3 linked regions of the Caenorhabditis elegans genome follow. The protein of the gene in region 1 interacts with the protein of each later gene in a pairwise test. Each region holds a gene or a part of one and is shown in the gene's direction. Other genes may lie near its edges.

Region 1 (8,401 bases):
AAATTGCCAATTTTCCTTGCAAAAAAAAAATTTACAATTAGAGGGATTTTTTATAAAACGGAAAAACTTAAAACTGTGCCTTTTTGAAATGTTCGTCCCGTTTCCTTTGAATGTTTTCATAGAATTTGCTTACTTTTCAAAATAGATGTAGGAACATTCATAAGATGTATACAATTTTGCCTTTTAAAATTGAAATTCTGGGAATTCCAAAAAGAAGTACAAAACCACAATTTTCCAAAAATTTTCGGCTAATCGGCAATTTGGCAGTTTACCGATTTGCCGATTTGCCGGAATCGAAAAAACGTTTACTTTGAAAATCTAGAAAAATATTTCGCACATATCTTGTCCGTTGACAATTTTTTGATAAAATCAAAGGGAGCCGAGATATCTATCAGCTGTGAAAGTGGTACGAGGGTAGGATTTATTTTTTAATATTTTTAAAATTCAAAATACTCGTGTGATCTCCGAACTTGTGTTCGCCCCGCCAAATCCTCATCCAATTTTTCATTTTTTTTTTAACCAATAAACAAGTATCAAACTCTTTCTTTCTTTTCCTGATGTTTCTCTGTCTAGGCAGACTGCCCCCGCCTAACCCCGCCTCTGACGGCCGGCAACTTGCACTTTGAAAAGAGAGCGGAAAAGAAACATAACACGAACGAAAAAAAAACCACTAAGAGATAGAAATATGTTGCCGATTCCGATTCTTTTCAATTCATTCTGATTACAATTTAAAAAAAATGTTCTCAAACCAAACACATAAACAAGTGTGTGCACTTTTGATAGAAGGATGCAGGGGGAAAGTGCAAGATGTCATTCATTTTTTGAAAACCGAAAAACTTGACAGTTAGCCACTCCTTCTCCCTACCCAAACTGTCTGCGTCTGCCGGTCGTTCTATTTTTCCTATTTTTTCCTTCGTTTTTTTTTGCTTTTTTGTTCGATATCACTTGTTCGCCCGTCTCCCTTCTCTGCCGCTCGCAACATTTCGCATCTGTTTTCCCAAGTTTCTGATGATCACTTATCTTGTCAAGTTTCGATTGCAAATTAACACTATCTAGCAGTTTAGAATGTGATTAATACTGCTTTTGGAAAAATATTTACAAAAAATATTTAGTTTCCCAAAAGTTTCCCAAGTTTTAAGATAAATGGTTCTGAAATTCTGAAGCTTAAAGTTCATATTTTTCAACATTGGTGTTTCTGAATAAAAATTTTACGCAAACTAGAGTTTCCATACAGGCTTCTAATGCGTACCTACCTGCCTCCCCTTAAGGTGACTTTCGCGTGCCTTGCGCCTTCCGCTAAAACACTTGCCAATTCATTGCTCCTTTCTTAACTTTGTTTTCAACAAATCGATTGAGATGAGGAAACTTTCAACTTCTAAATTCAATTCTAAATGCAGATAAAGGCAGGCAGGTTTCAGGCAGGCACAGGCCTTAAATTCACTTTTGGAATTATTCCTATAGTTAGGATATTTCACAAAATTTAAAAATTCTAATAACATTTTAATTTTCGGCATGCATGTTTTCATGCCTGCCTACCTACTACCTTATTACCTTTGTTTGCAATTTCCAATCTCAATTGATTTTTTGAAAATCATAGGCATAAGGTAGGCGTAGGCCGCCTAAGAATAATAATAAAATATCCGCTGTAAATATATGTCAATCACTTTTTTTGATAATTTTTTTTGATAATTATCATACCACATGTGTATCAAATATGAAATTCATATGAAATTTTCATGAATTGGAGATTTGGCTACCTGCCTACTTTAAGACGGCCTACGCCTACCTCGTGCCTCACAACATTTTCCCTGACCTACAGTAACCCGGAAAACTTCCTCATACTTCCCCAACTGGCAGGTTTCTTCCGATTACTCATATCGTTCGTTACTTTTATTTTACAATAACCGTATTTTGTAATTATTTGATATGTTTTCTTTCTTCAAATAAAATTTTTTTTTAATTAAAATTTTCAAATTATTTCAGATTAGTTAGCAAAATGGAGGTGCTCGGGAAGCAGAAGGTGTTGGCCATGATGAAGCTGAATGGTGCTGGACAGGTGAGCTACTGCCGGTTTTTTTTAGAATACCGGCTTGGCTCAGAAGCCGATTCTCGGCTAGACTAAACCGGCGCACCTAGATACAATAAATGTTGTGCCAAAACTATAACTTACTCGATCAGAACTTTTCCAGCTCACCGGGTACCCCTTCGAGACGCCTTCATCCTCCACCACAACACCTTCAGTACCTCCTTCCTTCCCACACTCATCAAATCCCAACGCCTATATGAAGCCATCTCCACCATCAGCTATATCATCACCACCATCCACATCATCGTGCTCCTCGGCTTCAGAGAAGAAAGAGTGTGCGGTGTGCAAGAACCCCAACTCCAGTGGATACCATTTTGGGTGTATTGCGTGTGCCGCTTGTTCAGCGTTTTTTCGACGTACCGTAGTGCTTTCGAGGAGGTACTACTGTAGGAGGGATCCAGTTGGCAACTCGCTGTGTCCGCTGGATAGACGTTAGTTCATTTTTTACCGTACCCTTTTTGTGAGGCCCCACGAAAAGGGAGCAGAACGAAAAGGGGATCTGCAAAAAGGGGATCTGCGAAAAGGGGAGATACGAAAAGGGGAGTTACGAAAAGGGGAGCAACAAAAAGGGGAGCTGGCACTGTGCCAAACGCACAAAACGCAATTTTTCTCACGCAACGCACGTTGATTTTTGAAATTTTCTTCTGGAAGATACGCTTAACAACACGCGACGCGTAACATCGGAGCATCGTTGTATCGTTTTCTTCGAGAAAAATAGCATTTGGCACAGTGCCAGATCCCCTTTTCGTTGCTCCCCTTTTCGTATCTCCCCTTTTCGTATCTCCCCTTTTCGCAGATCCCCTTTTTGCAGATCCCCTTTTCGTTCTGCTCCCCTTTTCGTGGGGCCTCCTTTTTGTAGACTTTGACCAGCTTCGGCAAACGTGAGAGATATGAAAAAGTGAATTTGATAACCGGATTCTAGAACAATTTTTAAACTTTAGTGAACAACTACAATAATCCTATGACTTTACTAGACTCGAATAGTAGGCAGGCACGCCTACATGCCAACATGCCTGCCTGAGTGAATACTAGTTTTTATAGTAAGGAGTCTACAGTAGGTAGGCAATTTTTATTACTTGGCTACCTGTCTTCCTAGCTGTCTATTTTCTGATTATTGGCGGTTTACACGGTGTAGATTTCCAAACGTTTGTGTAAGAAAATGAGCAAAACATTTATGGACGTATGTAGGTACGAGGTAGGCCTAGGTCGCAGTTTTGCCTGTGTATTTACAGTGTAGATTTACGTATTTCTCCTTTTAAGTGAGCAATAATTACATTTCCGTAGGCAGGTGGTAGGCCTAGGTTGCCCAATAGGCAGGCAGGGAGGTAGGTTGCATTGTTGGCAAAAGGTAAAGGTATGTACATCCAACTTGACATGGAAATTGATTGCAACTGTTGCAACTATTATTTTGCAACTATAACATATTCCTCTGGGAATAAAGGGCAAATTTTTGAATTCTAGCTTTTTTTTTTGTAAAATTCAGAGCACAAAGTTGAATAGGCAGGTTCGCAAAAAGGCAGGCAGGTAGCTATGTGCGTAGGCATAACTGTGCCTAATTTCAATTCAAGTCTAGCACGAAACTTTAAAAAAAAACTAGAAACAAATAATTTGTGAGAAAATTTTTTTTGGCATTTTGGCATGTATCCAAAATTTTCGATTAACTTTTTGGTTTGTCTGGCATTGCTTCGTTCCAATTTCATTTCCCAATTTCCCATGTTCTATTTCCAAATGTGGCCAATTGTGTCGATAACGGCAACATGATTCAATTTTCAATATATATTTCCCTTTTTCTCTTTCTCTCACTTTTTTGTCTATTCAACTATGAATTGAACACTTACAGTATTCGATTTCTAGTCACCAGAAAACAAAACTCTATTCTATCGAACGAAAATTGCTAGACAGACAAACAATTTTATCGGGGTAAAATTATGTAAAAGCCCCGTGTGTTCTGCTTATCAGTAGTAATAGTAGTGGTGCGTACTCGAAAAAATTTGTACAAATCAAGCAAATTTGACAAAAATGACAAAAAAAATCAACTTCCTTGTTTCAGGACACCGATCAAATTGTCGAGCATGCCGATACGTAAGGTGTATCGATATGGGGATGAATCCGAGCAGTAAGTAAACTTTTTTTTCGAGAATTCGGAGATTTTGATCTCTGAAATATGAGTTGTTCTTGTCGAGAAGATGGAATCTGTCTAGGGGGAGAGGGCGCAAAAAAGTGAGAGCGCCTAATTGTAGGTACGGTATGGCCTGCCTACCTGTAAAGATTCACCTATTAAGCTGCTTAACATCACAGTAAGACTGTGTCCCTGAAAATGACGGGCGCATAAATTTAACTCGAAGGTAGACAGTCAGACACATAGGTATGTAGGCCTTTGAACGGCTGATAGGCTGGCAAGCATTCACTTTGATTGGCAGGCAGATAGTCGGTAGGCAGGCGCGTAGACATGTAGGCAGGTCGGCACAAATAAAATAATTTCCGATTCCAGGCGTCCAAAACCTTCGAGACTCGATCAAGCCACGGTCCCCAGCAGAAATGATTCAGGAAGCCGAGGAGGAGGATAAAAAGGAGAAGCTCGACGATATTCTGTTCTCTGCTGCAACTCCGGGTAGTTGGATATCCAGTACGAGCACATGTAATGAACCACTTCCAGTTGCTCCAAAAGGTGAGTACGAAAATGGGGCACCACGCCCGCCCTCTGTAAATCCTGCGGCCGACACCTTGCGGTTCACGAGCCCGTTGTTGGCTGTCGGCTGCAAGTCGATGAAAAGGCGAGCGTGATGCCCAACAGTCTGAACCTGCTTCTCTCATCCTTTTTTAAAACCTGATCCTTCCCATGCTTCTTTAATTCCAACCCATCCCAACTCATCCAAAGTTCAGAAATTCCCGGCGAAAACTACATCGAAACCCTTGCCGCACTATACAAAAACTCTGTGGAGCGACGTCGAATGTTCTACTGTAACGGATCACTTCGCGAGATGCTCGGAGGCACCGGCTTAGTAATTACTGTACTAACTATGGCTTCTTTTTAGCAATTTCTTTCGGATTTCAGAAGATGCGACCAACGAGATTTGACGAACGATATTACAAGGAAAAAATGCGATTTGAGTTGGTTTTGTACGTGGAGATGATGAATTCAATGAGCGTGTTCCGACAGATGGACCTGGATACCAAGGAGACATTAGTCAAGGGATGTGCTGTGTCATTGGCCATGCTGGAGAAATATTATATTTCTGTGAAATATGATGGGTTGAGAACTCAAAAGTAGGGCTTTGCATTTTATTTTTATTGTTAGGGTACTTTTCTAGTACTCTATGGCTACTGTAGGATAACTCTAGTTTTAGGAAAAAATTGTTTTCGAAAAATTCCACAACTTTCTCGATATTTCTAAAAATATTTCGATTTTCTAGAGACCTTTACATTCCAGAATTTTCCAGAGCGTTCCAGACAGTTTCAGTAATGCCCAGATATTTTTAGAATTTTTTGAAAGGTCTAGGTCATGTCAAACTTACGAGAAAGTTTCCGAATATTCCAAAAAATTTGTTTCTAAAAAGTCCCTGAACATTCTATGCTATTTCTAGAGAGTTCCAGAATATTCAAAAATTTATATAACTTTCCAGGAATTTCTAGAAATGCTCAGGAAGATCCAGAGTTCTCAGAACATGTCAGAATTTCCTGGCATTTTCCAATATGTACCATTTTTCAGAAAATTCCAAAAGTTGTTTCACGTTTCCAAAAACATTTAGTGTTTTCTAGAGCGTCGCAGAATACTTGAAAGTGATCTCAAATTTTCCAAAAAAGGTTCCAGGACGTTCGAGGATTTTTTGAACCATTCTTGAAAATTCTAAAAAACTCTCAACATTTTTTCGGAAATTGCAATTCAACAATTCTGGTCATTTTTTTTTTTGAAAAATAAATTAAAGGAAAAAATCTCCATTTTTTTCGATTTTTCAACTTTTCAATTCAACAAAATTTCAAAAAAAAATTACCTAAAAAATTTGACCGAATTTTCTTTAAAAAATCGAAAATATAAAATTTTTTAATTTTTCGAATTTTCAATTTTAGAATACTCCAGATTTCATCACAATTTTTCTCGCATTTTCTTGAGAGCATCAGAATTGTTCTACTCTCTGCAAAACTTTTCTCGATTTCAGACTAATTGCTCCGGACGGGTCCTACACGGATTTGAGTGATCATGGTGCTCAATTCGACGACGAATTCACACAAATCACCGAGTCTGTCATGGACAAGGAAACGTGTCTGAAACTGCTCTACGACCCGCTGCGGTCGTGTTTGAACGAACTTGGATCCGCGTTAGAGCACTCTAGAATGACAGACACCGAGTTTTGTGCTCTTTTTGCAATATTGTTATTCAATACAGGTTAGTGCTGTCTGGAAGAGAGGTGTCAATTGAAAGTGCAATTTCAGCCGCTGATAACTTATCGGACGCGAGTCGTAACGCCGTAGTGATGGCCAGAAATCGGGTGATGAAGGATTGGTTCGAGTTTTATGCGAAACAGGGGATAGACCCACATGAGGTAGAGAAGCATCCTTCATTTAAAAATTTCGTGATCTTAAATTTTCTAGAAGATTCTGGTTTGTTCTGAACGTTTATGAAAATCAAAATTGTCTGAAAACACCGAATTTCAAAATGAAACTTCTTGGAAACTTTTCAAAAAAAAGTTATGGCGTCTCAAAAAATGGCCTAACATTTGTTAAAATTGTAAATTTGACCAACTTGTCAATGTCACAGCGGCTGGAAACAATTTTTTTTTTGAAATCACCGTCAAATTTTAAGTACACAATGTAATTATCTTGCGCGTTTCCAACTTCATTTAGTTGTTTCAAAGTCGATGGACGGCAAGATTTGGTTAAAAAAATTTAAAAAAAAAGCAATTAAAAAATTGGACTACACCACTGCAACTTTTTTCAAACGGGGGCCTAGAAAAAATGCAAAAAATCGGTGTTTGCACACAATACACCGCATATAACGACATTTTGTACTTGCTTTGTTTTCTTGTGTTTTTCACCGATTTTTCCCGTTTTTTCTTATTAAAACTGATAAATAAATATTTTTTGCCAATGCTAATATAATTTCCAGATGAAAAAATTATGTATTCAGTCGGCAAGTAGCGGTGAAAGTGGTCAATGTTATATGATGGATTACGGGAATACTAAACCTAAACTTTTTTCCAAACATGATAAATATGCTGCTTAGATGCTGAAACTACCTGATTTTCATAACGAGACCGCTGAAAAAGTTTTGAGATTTTTAAAATTCAACATTTTATGCGAAAATCTCTACTTTTTCACCAAAAAAGTTGAATTTTGAAAACCTCAAAATTTTTTTAGCTGTCTCGTTATGAAAATCAGGTAGTTTCAGCATTTAAGCAGCGTATGTATCATGTTTGGGAAAAAGTTTAGGTTTTGTATTCCCGTAATCCATCATATTACATTGAGCACTTTCACCGCTACTTACCGACTCAATACAGACTTTTTTCACTTGGAAATTGTTTTAGCATCTGCAAAAAATATTTATTTATTAGTTTTAATAAGAAAAAACGGGAAAAATTGGTGCAAAACAAAAGAAAACACGCGGAAAACAAAGCAACATAAATGGCCGCTGAAACTTGTCGGCCCCTCGGCCATGGTCTAGAAACCACTTTTCCTCGTCCCTCGTGAGGAAAAAGTTGCAGTGTACACCACCTTTAAATGTGTTAGAACTTTCTAGAGATTTCGAAAATATTTGAAAAGTTTCTGGGATTTTTGGTAAGTTCTACAAAAACTGAACTATTCTGGACCACCTATTTGAAAATTTCAACAACAATCTAAAAAGGCTTTCTGGAAATTTTGAAAAATCTTGAAACGATTTCGATCAAAATTTCTGTAAGATTTTCGATCATTCATTGACCATTCATCCCTAGAAAAGTCAAAATATTTCTGGAAAAATCTAGATACTTCTCTTATTCTGAAACAGCGGAGAGGCCGCTGAGCACCTAGATGTTTTCTCTGCGCTCTCCTCCTCACCTACGCTCTCTCATCCTCTTCTAGTTTCCAGGCTGGTCTTCTCGTGGGCAACACGTTGCTTCTTCTGACAGCCGTCCGCAATGCGATGGCAGTTCACCGTGAAAATTTTCACGTGATTCGTGTGTTCAATGTGATGGAATATGATAAATTAATTGATGATCTCGCGTTCACGTAACCCCAAAATGTCCTGCAGTTGTACATAGAATACCCAGCCCGCTAGAAAATACTTTTCGCTAGAAATTGATTCGCTAGTTTTAAAGTTTCAAAAGAAATTGTAATAAATAT
Region 2 (4,719 bases), on another chromosome or scaffold:
AACGTCGGACTGACTTTTCCGTTCTTGTAGTCCAAGACAATTTGTCGGCATTGCTCTTGTCGTGCAACTGATGAGGTCAGGGTGAGTGGGTTAGTAAGAGTGAAAAAGTGACGGACACGACCTGGAAAAGAGGATTTCTTTACAATGTAGGTTAATAAATGTTAAAAATCAGAAGTAAATCAGATTGTAATTTATTGATTTCTGGCGTTTCCAAATTTTCGGGTCTCTCAAGTTCAAAGCGGCACAAGAAAAGTTTGAGCCAAAGTGTTCCAAGAGTTTGATCAAACTTGGGACAAAATCTGGCGCAGCCTAAATCCAGGTCTTGTCAAAATCTTGCCCAACTTTCGCCGAAGTTTTGCCAATTTCTCATCAACGTTAATAGTTTTGGGCAAAACGTGGGCAAGAAGCTAGAGCCAAATACCGAATAATTCGATGAAAAAGGTGTCCAATGTGCTATTATTGAAAAAGGTGTCCAATGTGCTTCGCGATGTGCTATTATTCACTTTGAAAAATGCAAGAATTTTGCAATGCACCGCACATTAACTTTCAGATACATCCCATCTAAACAGTCTTAACTTCGCTGGCACTTTTTGGCAACCTGAAGAATTCTTACCGTAATATGTCCTTTGACTCCATTGTGGCTTCGATATATCTGGACGAGTCTTTAGATTGCTGACAAGCTCACTCATTTTAATCAAATGAGAACTAATAAATGAATTGTTCTGTGGTTTTGTAACGTTTTTTTTGTTTCTTTATTTTTAATTTGTTAGACCGTGATTTACGTGGCACTTATGTATATATTTTTAATTGTCTCATATCCAAATTTTATAATTTTTCAGAATTGAAAAACTGAAATATAAACTTCTGAAAAAAAAGAGTTCCTCTCTCCCGTTTTCAAACGGAAATTGTGAGTCAGAAGTTTTGGTTTCAGAGAAGGCAAGAGGAAAAAGTACAGCAGCGAATTGTTTAGGAAACTCTTTGATTATTCATCATTTGTCAGAAAAATTGTGAAAATAGAAGGAAGAGAAAATGAACTGAAAGTTTCAAAAATTTTCTGGCTTCATCCGGCAGTTTTTTTTTGCAGCAAACATTTTTTGAATTTTTTTGAAATAATTTTTAAAGCATTTTTAGTGCTCTAGATTATTTTAGGATAAAAACCCATCAACTTAAATATAAAAAAATAGTCTTTTTATCCGAAAATAATTTTTGTTTTACTTGAAACAACTGCAAAAGTGCCGAGCAATACGAAAATTGCTTGAAAAACCAGAGAATTTATCGGAAAAAATTTCCGGCAATTTTTGTGCACTTTTTCAGATGTTCCAAGTCAAATAAAAATAATTTTCAAATAAAGCAAAATAAATTTTCCGAAATACGGTAGCTTTAAAAAGTTACAATATTCTTAAAGTCCCCACCCAAACCTTCTTTATTAAAATCTCCCCATCACCTTTTTGCAATATATTGCAAAATCCAACAGCTATGCATTTGAATCCAAACAGCAGTCTCCGCAGCCTCTCCCTCTCTTTCCTTCCCCCTTCCACCACCCAATTCCCCAGTCCGTCAGTACACGTATGTCTGTACACTCTTCATCTTGCACACTCTCTCAGTCCCCACTCACTGCCTGCATCGCAGCACTGCTTGTCCTTCGATCGATGACCGCCTGCTGACTGCTGTTGACTGCCCGCATGCTGCTGCCTGCTGGCTGAATTATCTCATCACTATAGGCCACTTATGCTCAGTTTTTTTTCTTTGTTTCTAGAAATTCATTACCGTAGGATTTTAGTAGGAAATTATTTGAGTTTTTTTCAACCTGATTTTTCGCCGAGAATTTAGGAAAATTTGGAAAGAAAGGGAGGATTTTTTTCAAGGTTTTTTTCCTCATATTTCTCCGAATTCTTCCGTGACTTTTAAGATATTGTAACTAATTTTTTTCTCAGAATGGATCCAAAATTTCTCGTAGTAGAAATAGACTCAAAGGAGCGAGCACTTCAGTTGGTTCAAGTTATGGTGGGTTTTTCTAGTGAAAAATAACTAAATTGGAAAAAAAAAAGTTTCAGCTAGAAAATGGATTTGCTCGATTCATGCTGTTGGACGATCTTTCGCGACACCCGACTCTCGACAGAATCCAGAGAGAAGAGCCAAGAATTTCAAGAGATGAACTCCGTGAAACAGCTTCATCTCCTGTCACATTTGAAACTCGACATTCTCCATATCCAGTGCATGAGCAAAAGTAGGTGGTTTTTTTTTAAATATTTTTTATTTAAAAAATGGAAATTTTTGAGATCAAACCTTATATTTCACAAACAATTCAGAAAAATTCACTCTTAAAAGAACCAATAAAAAAGGTTTTATTTTGTCGAAAACTTCTCTTTCGCCAAAAAAAAAATTTCCGAAGCCTCACCTTCTGCCTTTATTTGCTGTATATTCTCTACTAGTCTTTCAAAAAGTTATATCTCGGTTCATTTCAAAGATATCAATAAATAATCAACAGCAAATCTATAGAAAAACATTTAACAAATATTTTGTCAGTCGAAAGTTTTTCAATAAAACAAACGACAACTGAGTTATCAAATTTATCAGTTGGTTGAAATACTATTAGAGGAAATACGGTATAATACTTAGCAGAAAAGTTTTTACAAATAAAATTTGCGACTTTAAGTTCATCAAATTTTCAGAGTTCTATTTCCATCGTTTTCACAAGTTTCGAATTCAATGGTGACATCTACGGGCATCCGACAGGAAGCTTCAAGTGTTGGTGTTGGACCGATTGAAGACGACGATATTGTTGAGGAGGAGGAGGAAGAGGATATTCGACTTACTAGCAAGCCGTGAGTTTATCTACTTTAATAAATCTACTGGACATTCGAGAAATTAAAAAAAAAAGATTTCAGGTGTGTCAAACGCCGTTATGATCATCACGCCGAGGAACAGGAGTATAGAGATCAACTGATGAGCTTGTTGAGTGGAGAACCGGAAATTGTGCCTATAGGTGTCAACTCGGTTAGTAGTTTTTTCTATATTCCAAGACTCACAATTCCTCATTTTCAGAACGACGAACCATCTGGCTCCAACTCGGATTCTGCCGCGAAAAAGGCCAAATCCGTCGGCGACTACCATGAATGTCAGCTCTGTGGAGTTCGAGTCAAAACGCCTAGAAGCGGTCGATGGAATCTCCAAATGCATGTGATTGCTCTTCATTGTGTTGGAAGACAATATAAATGCAAGCAGTGTGATTACTTGGACTATCGAAAATCAACGATGAGAAAACATACGGTTTCGCAGCATGGAAGTGACATTCCGCCGCATAATATTACGTGAGTTTTGGAGTTTTTTCAAATCAAAATTTCAAATATAAATATTTTAAAACAATACCTAAACATCCCCATGCTGCTAGAATCAATACAATTTATTTTAAAAAGGCTTTGAAATATTAATTGAAATGAAATTATTTGTGAACAATTTTTGTAGAAGTTTCAAATTTAAAAAATCATATTTTTCCAGGGACAACATAATGAAAGCTGAATGGCATGCTGCAATGATAAAATGTTTCCCTGAATTTGCTCACAGAACTGGGTTCTTAAACTGATTCATCGCTCTCATCGCCAAATTATTTATTTTTTGATACCATTCCAATTTATTATATTCCTGATAAAAAGTGACAATTTGATAATTATATTGCAGTTATAAAGCGGTTAGATATACATACATCACCAATTAGATCAGCTTAACCTTAGTGAAACCCTCAAGTTCATGAATCGCCTTTTCAATGTCTTCTACTAAAATTGTGTTCCATCCGAGCTTTTCTGCAGCTTCAATGTTTTCATGGAGGTCATCCAAAAACACAATTTCCTCTGGTTTGACTCCGAGTCTTTTCTCAACTAAATGATAAAATCGAGCGTCTGGTTTCATGAGATGCTCCAAACAAGATTCTACAACTTCATCGAAATGTGTCAAATCGCATGGAAGTCTGGTTTCCTTGTGCTCCTGAAAATCATTGAACAAATTTTCAATATTGATAGGAACTCGATTACCTTATCTAAGAACATGTTGTTTGTCAGCATGGCGGTTTTGAAGCCCTTCTTGTGAAGAATTTCCACGGTTTTTTGCATATTTTTGTGCTGAAAATGCTAGGTTCAGGGCAAAGTTTAGAAACATTTTAAGCTTACAATTTTAACATTTTCTCCACGAAGGCACTCGGTGAATGGTTTTATCACAACGTTGTCAGTCAGCTTGTTTCCATACTGAAAGTTTAAAAAGTAAGAAAAAATTTCAAAAACTTTGTTTTGAAAATAAGGAAATTCATGAAACTTGCAATAAATTTGAATTTCAAACTTCCTAAAAATGTAGGAACGATGTTTCAGCTGTATCTTTCTGAAATTTTTTCCAAAAAATAAAGTCGATGGAACGTTCAAGTTTTTTTATAAAAATTGATGGATGTTCAGATTTAAATTCTCCAAAAAATCTTGGGGGAAATTTACATGTATTTTTCGAAAAAAATTGAAATTTCAAAACTTCAGAAAAATTTGGCGCATGTACCAATATGCATATTTTTTTGTGAAAAAATTTAGAACTTGACTCACAAGAAAATTTGCGAGAATTTCAAAATTCAATATTTCAACAGAAATTTTTTTCCCGAGATTCACATTGTAAACTTTTTTAAAAATTTAGGGAACAAAGCAGGAATATCAAAATTCCAGTGTTCAAAAAAAATTCGACGGGAAA
Region 3 (8,398 bases), on another chromosome or scaffold:
CTATTTCTATTAGCTTCAGTTTGCACTAAAATTAATTATGATTTTTTTTAAGCAAACTAGTGGTTTATTGCCATAATTTGGATGTTTTTAGACAGCGAGCAATTTGTGTTGTCGATTTCCATTGGCCTGGTTTCTACAGAATATAGGACTTTTAGTGATATGCAATGAAAATTACGATTAGTACATATATAATATAATATAATATAATATATAATACAATATATAATACATAATACAATATATATATAATATATAATTATATATATATGTATAATATATATAAATATTATATATATATATATATATATATATATATATATATATATATATATATATATATATATATATTATATATAATACATAATACATAATACATAATATATAATACATATATAATATAATTACACATATATAATATTTTAATCAAAGTTGTATAAATATGTTAAAACATTAAATATTGCAAAATATTTTTTTTGAACATTTTGAAAAAAAATGTTTTGTTAACTTTTCGAAAAAAAATATTTTTTTGAAAAACTGTTATTTTTTTCAAATTTCAGTATTTTTGTAATAGTTTGAATTTACACAAAAGTTAAGTACAATGTTCTTAACATACTGGTAGTTATCTCTAAAAATTGAGCAGTTTTTTGAGAACGAGCAATTTGTGTTGTCGCTTTCTTTTACATAGGCTGGTTTAGTTGGGAATTATGTGTGACCTTTTCAGCTAGAAACGGACAGAAAATGATATAACAGTCATATAAAGTTTTAAAAAAAAGTATAGTATAGTAAAACAGAAAATTTGGAAATACAATTTTTTTTTAAAGATTTTTGAAATTTTTTTCTTGCAATTTCAAAAAAAATTTTTTTTTTGAGTTTTTGGAATTTTTTTTTCAAGTTTTGAACTATTTCTATTAGTTTGACATTATGTAACACATTATGACATAGAGATTATGTACAATTTTCTCGACAAATCAGTAGTTAACGGCCAAAATTCGGCTCTTTTTAGACAGTGAGCAATTGGTGTTATCAATTTCCATTGACCTGGATTCTTCAGAATACAGCACTTTTAATTATAGCGAGGCAATGATAAATTATGATTTGCAAAATTTAATGAATAAATTTTTTTTTTTGGATAATTTTGAAAAAAAAATTTTTTTTTTGAGAAATAAAACGTTTTTTTCCAATTTTCTGAATTTTTATTCTCAAATTTTGAAATATTTATATTAGTTTTAGTTCACACTAAAATTAAGATTAATTTTCTTGACAAATTAGTAGTACACTGACTAAATTTGGCACTCGAGCAATCGGTGTTGTCGCTTTCTTTTAGGCTGGTGTATTTGGAAATTGTGGCCCTTTTAGGTATAAAAAGACAAAGTTGATGTTACAACAAGAATGTATATAGTTAAACAACATAAAATGTAGTAAAACTAAAATTTTTGGAAATCAATTTTTTTTTGAGATTTTTGAAAAAAAAAATTCTGCGATTTTCAAAAAATTTTTTGAATTTTCTGATATTTTTTTCTCAAATTTTCAAAGAATGCTTATTCATGCAAATCCACACAAAAATCGTAAGTTTTCATAAGCCAACCAGTTTTTAACTACAAAAATTTGCCACTTTTTAGAAGTCGAGCATTTGGTGGGTGTTGTCGATTCCCCCCCCCCCCCCCCCCTCAGGCTTGAAAAGCCGGCTAAAATCTAGTTCCTCAGGTAAACTTGCACCGAAGTTACAGAAATAGACATCAGGAAGTAAAAAAAAACAGTTCTAATTACCAAGCAAACAAGAAAAATCAATCAAAAACTAAATACACAGCAAATATTTACAAACATAAAAAAGAAAAAAAAAATCAAAAATTGAGGTGCAAAGTGGGCAAAAATGAAATCTTATGACTGGAAAAATAATCAGATAACTGCTTATAAATATAATTTGAATAAAAATAGCAGAAAAAAATTTTGAAAAAAATTTTTTTTTTGAGAATTTTGAAAAAATTTTTTTTTTTTTTTTCTGAAACTCCCCTAAAATGTGGAATTTCAAAATTTTCAACAATTTCGTCAAACTACACCCTCAGAAAAGTACAAATCACGATGAAAATCTCTGAAATCCCCCCATCGCCGTTTGTTTTTCCAATTTACGACCACCAAACCTCTCTCCCTATCGGCTTAACTGTTGGTCTAAACCTCGAATTACTATAAAATAACATATTTTGATGTCATTTGACATTGGTAATATGTTCACAAAAACATCATTGCTAGGGTTACTGTATTTATGCGCTATTTTGATCGGTTTTCCAGAAAAATCGACGGGAAGTGGTGGGTTTTTTTGTTGACCTTTCTTGAAAATTTATGATTTTTAAACTTAAATTTGTGAAAATTTGAATTCAGCTCATTATTAGTTTTCAAACACGTATAATCATGACTATATTCCGATTATTTTGAAAATGTTGGCCTCTACGTCCCTATAAAGTCGTGGCGGGACCCAAATTTCCAATTCGTTAGATTCTAGTCATAATCATACTTTTTTTTTCAAGTTGCTTGAAGTGAACTAAATCTGAGTATTTGAACATTTTTAAAATTTGCACCAGGTTATCGTGGTGGGACCAAAAATTTTGAAAATTCAAAAATTCCTAGAACCTAGTCATGAGTATACTTATTTTAAAGCTCTCGACGCGCTCATTTTCATAATTTAAAAATTTTGGAATTCGCAGCAAAACTGTGCGAGTTGCGGCCCCCTTCAAGTTTTCGTGGTGAGACCCAAAATTTTGAAAATTCCAAAATTTCGAGAACCTAGTCATGATTATTCTCATTTTAAAGCTCTTGGCGCGCTTATTTTAATAATTTTTAAATTTTTAAATTCGCATCAAAACTGTGCGAGTTATGGTAGCTTGTTTCATCAGTATACTTATTTTGAAGCTCTTGACGCGCTCATTTTCATAATTTAAAAATTTTGAAATTCGCAGCAAAACTGTGCAAGTTATGGTAGCTTGTTTCATTTTTGCGGCGAGACCCAAAATTTTGGAAAAATCCAAGTTTTCAGAACCTAGTCATGATTATACTCATTTTGAAGCTTTTGGCGCGCTAATTTTAATAGTTTTAAAATTTTAAAATTCGCCCCAAAACTGTGCAAGTTACGGCAGCTTTTTACATTTTCGTGGCGAGACCCAAAATTTTGAAAATTCCAAAATTTCTAGAACCTAGTCATGATTATACTTATTCGAAAGCTCTCGCTCTGCTGAATTCAAAAATTCTAATTTCAGACCCCCTACCAACAACACCCCCCGCCCCAACAGTATCCCCATATGGAAATGAGACCCTTCCAACACTGTTCCCACCGCTGGTATTTCCGAACTTCACCGTACCAACGCTGAACCCAATGGCGCCAGTACCACCACCCACATTTGGTCCAATTCCTGGCCTTGGAAATTTCACCCTACCTACACTTGGCACGCTGCCAGGCTTCGGGAACTTTACCCTTCCAACTTTTGCCCCACTGAACCTTAGTTTCCCGGGGCTTCCAACAATGGCTCCGCTGAATCTGAGTCTGCCAAATTTCATGAATTTCACACTTCCAACCATGCCAACATTTGCTCCCCTGGTGCTAGGCGATCTATCCAACTTCACGCTACCTACCCTTGCTCCGTTCAATCTAAGCCACCTGGGACTTGGCACCATGCCAACTTTTGCACCACTGAACCTGAGCTTCCCAGGGCTTCCTACGATGGCTCCACTAAACCTGAGCCATTTAGGTCTTGGCACGATGCCAACTTTTGCTCCACTGAATCTCAGTCTCCCCGAGCTCCCCAGCCTTCCTACAATGGCCCCGTTGAACCTGAGCCACCTGGGACTTGGCACCATGCCAACTTTTGCTCCACTGAACCTAAGCCTACCCGCACTGCCTACCATGTCCCCAATGAACCTAACCATCCTAGGACTCCCGACGATGGCTCCAGTGAATCTCACCGGGCTCCCCACATTGCTTCCGATCACCAATCCGCCATCAATGGGCACTACAACCAAGCCACCTGCGGCCCCCAGTACTGGTAAGGCTTGGACGATTATATTTTAGGCTTCAAGCTTCTCTTTTTCCAGCCTGCGGATCCGCTACATGTACCTCTACGCAGGTCTGCGCGTCGCCACTAAACTCGACACAGACCTGCATCCCACGGCTCCCGGATCGCCGTTACTGTATTGATGAGCCGTGTCAAGTGGGCATGAAGTGCTTTGATAACGTCACTAGCAACGCCTACACTTGTTATACCAAACTGGGTAAGGGGTACTGTAGGAGTGCTGGAGGGTAGGGCCAGTGGGGAAAATTGCTTTAAAACATGCCTATGGTACTACAACGACCGAAAATCATAGTAAGAAAATTTCAAAAAAATTTCAAAATTTTATATGGTTTTTTGAAAATTGAAAAAATCTCGAATTGCATCAAATTCCCATTTGTATTACGCGCCAATAGTTTTTGAGTTGCTTGAAGTCAACTAAATCTGAGTATTTGAAAATTTTTAAAATTTGCGCCAGTTTTAGGTTATCGTGGTGGGACGAAAAATTTTGAAAATTCAAAAATTCCTAGAACCTAGTCATGAGTATTTATTTTAAAGTTATTTTAAAGCTCTCGACGCGCTTATTTTCATAATTTAAAAATTTTTAAATTCGCATCAAAACTGTGCGAGTTACAGTAACTTTTCCGTTTTCGTGGTGGGACCCAAAATTTTGGAAATTCCAAAATTTCTAGAACCTAGTCATCAGTATACTTATTTTGAAGCTCTTGACGCGCTCATTTTCATAATTTAAAAATTTTGAAATTCGCAGCAAAACTGTGCAAGTTATGGTAGCTTGTTTCATTTTCGCGGCGAGACCCAAAATTTTGGAAAAATCCAAGTTTTCAGAACCTAGTCATGATTATATATTAATTTTGAAGCTTTTGGCGCGCTTATTTTAATAGGTTTAAAATTTTAAAATTTTCTGAAAAGTTCGATGGAGCGCGCTTGTCATTGTTTAATTTTTATTTTTCAATTTTTCACATTTTTGATTGATTTTTCATGTTTTTTTGCATAATTTTACTGAAACACAGTGAAAAATGTGAGATAAATGCAAATTGTTCACTAAAAATCAGTGAAAAACAGAGAAAGAACGTTTTCCAATGACATTGAGCCTTCATCTCCACTTTTTAATAAAGAATTTGCATTTATCTTAAATTTTTCACTGAATTTCAGTGAAATTACGCGAAAAAACACGAAAAAATCAGTCAAAAATGTGAAAAATTGATGAATAAATATTTAAAAATGATGCAAGCGCGCTCCATCGAACATCAAACTATTGGCGCGTAATTCAAATGGGAATTTGATGCAATTCGAGATTTTTTCATTTTTCAAAAAATCATATAAAATTTAGAAAATTTTTTTTTGTCAAAAAGTGGCAATTACTCAGTTTTTGCCACTCATGGTCGAGACATGTGATATTTCTTTAAATTTTCTCAAATGCTCGTTTTTTTCAAAATTTTGGCCATTTGCCAAAACTTTGACCGGAAATTATGAAAAATCGAAAATTTTTTAGAGTGTTTTATTATGATATTCGGTCGTTTTTGATCATTTTAAGTGCATTTAGACAAAATCCCCAAAATTTTAGATTTTCAAGTCGAAATTCGGATTCCCCACCAAAAATTACCCCTGAGCCCCGATTTTCAGAGCTCTAGTACAAAATGTCGTCAAATCCGGTGTTTTGGGTTACTGTAGCATGGTGTTTGCGAACCCGGCACCAAATTTGACGGAATTTTGCGCTAAAATTCTGAAAACTGCGGTTTCGGGGTAATTTACCATGGGGAATTCGAATTTAACATTAATTTTGCGAAAATTTGATGTTTGGGCCAAGTCACAATGGGAAAGTTTTTTTTTTCAGTTCTTCAAACAAAAATTTTTGAAAAATTGAGTGAAAATTCGAATTCTCCACCCGAAATTACCCCGAAACCCCAAGGGTGTCGATTTTTCGATTTTTTTAGAAAATCGAAAAACGAAAAATTTTCGATTTTTCGATTTTCGAATTCTTCGAAAAAATTTTCGATTTTTCAAAAATTAGCTTAATATTTTCGCCGTTATTCTTCTTTTTAGAGGAAATTTAGATGTTTTTTTCTTATCAATATAAACAAAATTCGATAAAAACTCATATTTTATAGTAAACTTTTTGAACAATTTTTTCTATTTTTCGATTTTCCAGAGAATCGAAAAATCAAAAATTTTTCGATTTTTCGATTATTCGATTTTCACCGAAAAATATCGAAAAATCCTAACTAATCAAAGTTCATCGAAAATTTTATCAGACGGCACCGCCGGTGAATGCCTTGGCATCAAGTGCTCACCCGGAGACATTTGCTTCCAAACTATGGGAAAACCTGCCCAATGCATACAGCTTAAGCGTGAGTTCCCCCCCCCCCCCACACCCCACCCCCTCAAAAAACCCAAAACCCATTCCAGAAGCCCCAAAATGCGTGGGCGCCAACGAGGAGTTCTCGGCGTGCAAGTCGGGCTGTGAGGGTACCTGTGAAGAACCGTCCCCGCCGTGCATGAACTCGACCACCTGCACGTCAGGATGTGCCTGCATACGTGGTTATGTGAGGATCAATGGGGTCTGTGAGCTCATGTCAAAGTGCCCGGTTACTGTAACGGAAGGTGTTTCGTGTGCTGGCGCTGAAGTCTACACGGCGTGTATGCCAGAGTGTGAGAAAACGTGCTCAGGGGTGCCGAATCAGGTGAGCATATGTCATTTTTTTTCACTTTTTTCGTTTTTTCCCCTTGTTGTTCTTTTTTTTTTCATTTTTTGCGTAAAATTGGGCTTTGAGACAGAAAAATTCGAAATTTTCACAAATTTTTACGTCTAAGAGAATATTTATAACGAAAAGTGAAAAAAAATAAAAAAAGTATGGAAAAATAATGAAAAAAAATGTAAAAAAATGAAAAAAACAAAAGAAATTTATCATTTTTTTTCTTTCTTTTTTCTTTTAAAAAAATTGTTTTTTCTTTCTTTTTTCTTTAAAAAAATTTTTTTTCTTTCTTTTTTCTTTTTTTTCCTTTTTTTTCCTTTTTCTTTCTTTTTTCTTTTTTTCTCTTTTTTTTCATTTTTTTTCATTCTTTTTTCATTTTTTTTTCATTTTTTTTCATTTTTTTTTCATTTTTTTTTCTTTTTTTGGTGAATTTTTCATTTTTTACATCAAAGCATTGAACAACATCGAGCACCCGTTTAATATGTGGAAAGAAATCGCATTCTGAATTTGGAAAAATTAAAATTTAAATTAGTGAAAAAAATCAATAAATTTTCAGAAAAATCAAAAAATTTCAGAAAAATCAATAAATTTTTAGAAAAATCAATAAATTTTCAGAAAAATCAAAAAATTTCAGAAAAATCAATAAATTTTTAGAAAAATCAATAAATTTTCAGAAACATCAAAAAATTTCAGAAAAATCAATAAATTTTTAGAAAAATCAATAAATTTTCAGAAAAATCGATTAATTTTCAGAAAAATCGATAAATTTCCAGAAAAATCAATGAAAGTCAATTTAATTTCTAAAAATTTGAAAATTTCAGTTCTGTATCGAAGCCAAAAACGGAACCGCTACCACAAAAGCCCCGGCAAAATGCCTACCCGGGTGCACTTGCCGGCCAGCTTACAAGCGAGATTCTGACAGTGGCCAGTGTGTCCATTCCAGGCAATGTTTTGGGAGTAAGTCGGAGCTCAGAATTTCCAGAAAAATCAATATTTCCAGCAACCAAATGCAGTGACAACGAGGCGTGGTCCAAGTGTCATAACTGCGAAAAAGTGTGCTTCCAAACTGCAAATCCGAGCTGCAAGGCTTGCTGGAGTGGCTGTGGATGCTTGGATGGGTTCTCGAGGAGTACTACTGGGCTCTGTGTGGAGACGGCTAAATGCTTCTGAAATTTCTCTGATTTTCTGTGAAAATTGTGTATTTGGATATTGGAAATGTATAAATAATTTTTTGGTGAATATTTTCTTGTGCTCAGCACCACAAAATAAATGGAAAATTTGAAATTCTCGTAGTCGAATTACTCGAAAACTTGAATAATGATTTTTCCTGGCGCACTTTAAGTGCCTTGGCGAAATTCTAGTGCCTTGGCGCAATTCTAGTGCCTTGACGCAACTCTAGTGCCTTGACGCTATTCTATTTCCTTGGCGCATTTTTAGTGCCTTGACGCAAATCAAATGCTTTGGCGCAATTCTAGTGCCATGACGCAATTCTAGTGCCTTGACGCAATTCTAGTGCATTGAAGCTATTCTATTTCCTTGACGCATTTTTAGTGCCTTGACGCAATTTTAGTGCCTTTGCGCAGTTCGAGTGTCTTGACGCAATTCTAGTGCGCTGACGCAATTCTAGTGCCTTGACGCAATTCTAGTGCG

The links.
Region 2: the proteins of nhr-76 (region 1) and lir-3 interact in a two-hybrid assay, tested with the Caenorhabditis elegans proteins (one large-scale study listed by BioGRID).
Region 3: the proteins of nhr-76 (region 1) and Y69H2.10 interact in a two-hybrid assay, tested with the Caenorhabditis elegans proteins (one large-scale study listed by BioGRID).

The regions. Positions count from the first base shown.
Region 1 is NC_003282.8:625,554-633,954, forward strand, and holds the start of nhr-76 (Nuclear hormone receptor family member nhr-76), read left to right. Parts: upstream 1-1,983; 5' UTR 1,984-1,996; coding exon 1,997-2,056; intron 2,057-2,189; coding exon 2,190-2,517; intron 2,518-4,136; coding exon 4,137-4,202; intron 4,203-4,577; coding exon 4,578-4,754; intron 4,755-4,969; coding exon 4,970-5,088; intron 5,089-5,141; coding exon 5,142-5,353; intron 5,354-6,243; coding exon 6,244-6,470; intron 6,471-6,517; coding exon 6,518-6,627; intron 6,628-8,147; coding exon 8,148-8,291; 3' UTR 8,292-8,401.
Region 2 is NC_003280.10:11,182,023-11,186,741, reverse strand, and holds lir-3 (Transcription factor lir-3), read left to right. Parts: upstream 1-1,934; 5' UTR 1,935-1,935; coding exon 1,936-2,004; intron 2,005-2,054; coding exon 2,055-2,227; intron 2,228-2,672; coding exon 2,673-2,825; intron 2,826-2,888; coding exon 2,889-2,997; intron 2,998-3,045; coding exon 3,046-3,311; intron 3,312-3,498; coding exon 3,499-3,583; 3' UTR 3,584-3,667; downstream 3,668-4,719. Other genes in the region: sfxn-1.2 (Sidoreflexin), read right to left, coding at 1-121, 614-689; bigr-1 (HAD family phosphatase), read right to left, coding at 3,712-3,981, 4,029-4,115, 4,164-4,238. UniProt on the Caenorhabditis elegans protein: Positively regulates the RNA polymerase III-associated transcription of small non-coding RNAs.
Region 3 is NC_003283.11:18,668,102-18,676,499, forward strand, and holds Y69H2.10 (TIL domain-containing protein), read left to right. Parts: upstream 1-2,222; coding exon 2,223-2,304; intron 2,305-3,171; exon of another isoform or gene 3,172-3,238; intron 3,239-3,248; coding exon 3,249-4,031; intron 4,032-4,080; coding exon 4,081-4,257; intron 4,258-6,307; coding exon 6,308-6,403; intron 6,404-6,461; coding exon 6,462-6,736; intron 6,737-7,569; coding exon 7,570-7,705; intron 7,706-7,748; coding exon 7,749-7,918; 3' UTR 7,919-8,018; downstream 8,019-8,398.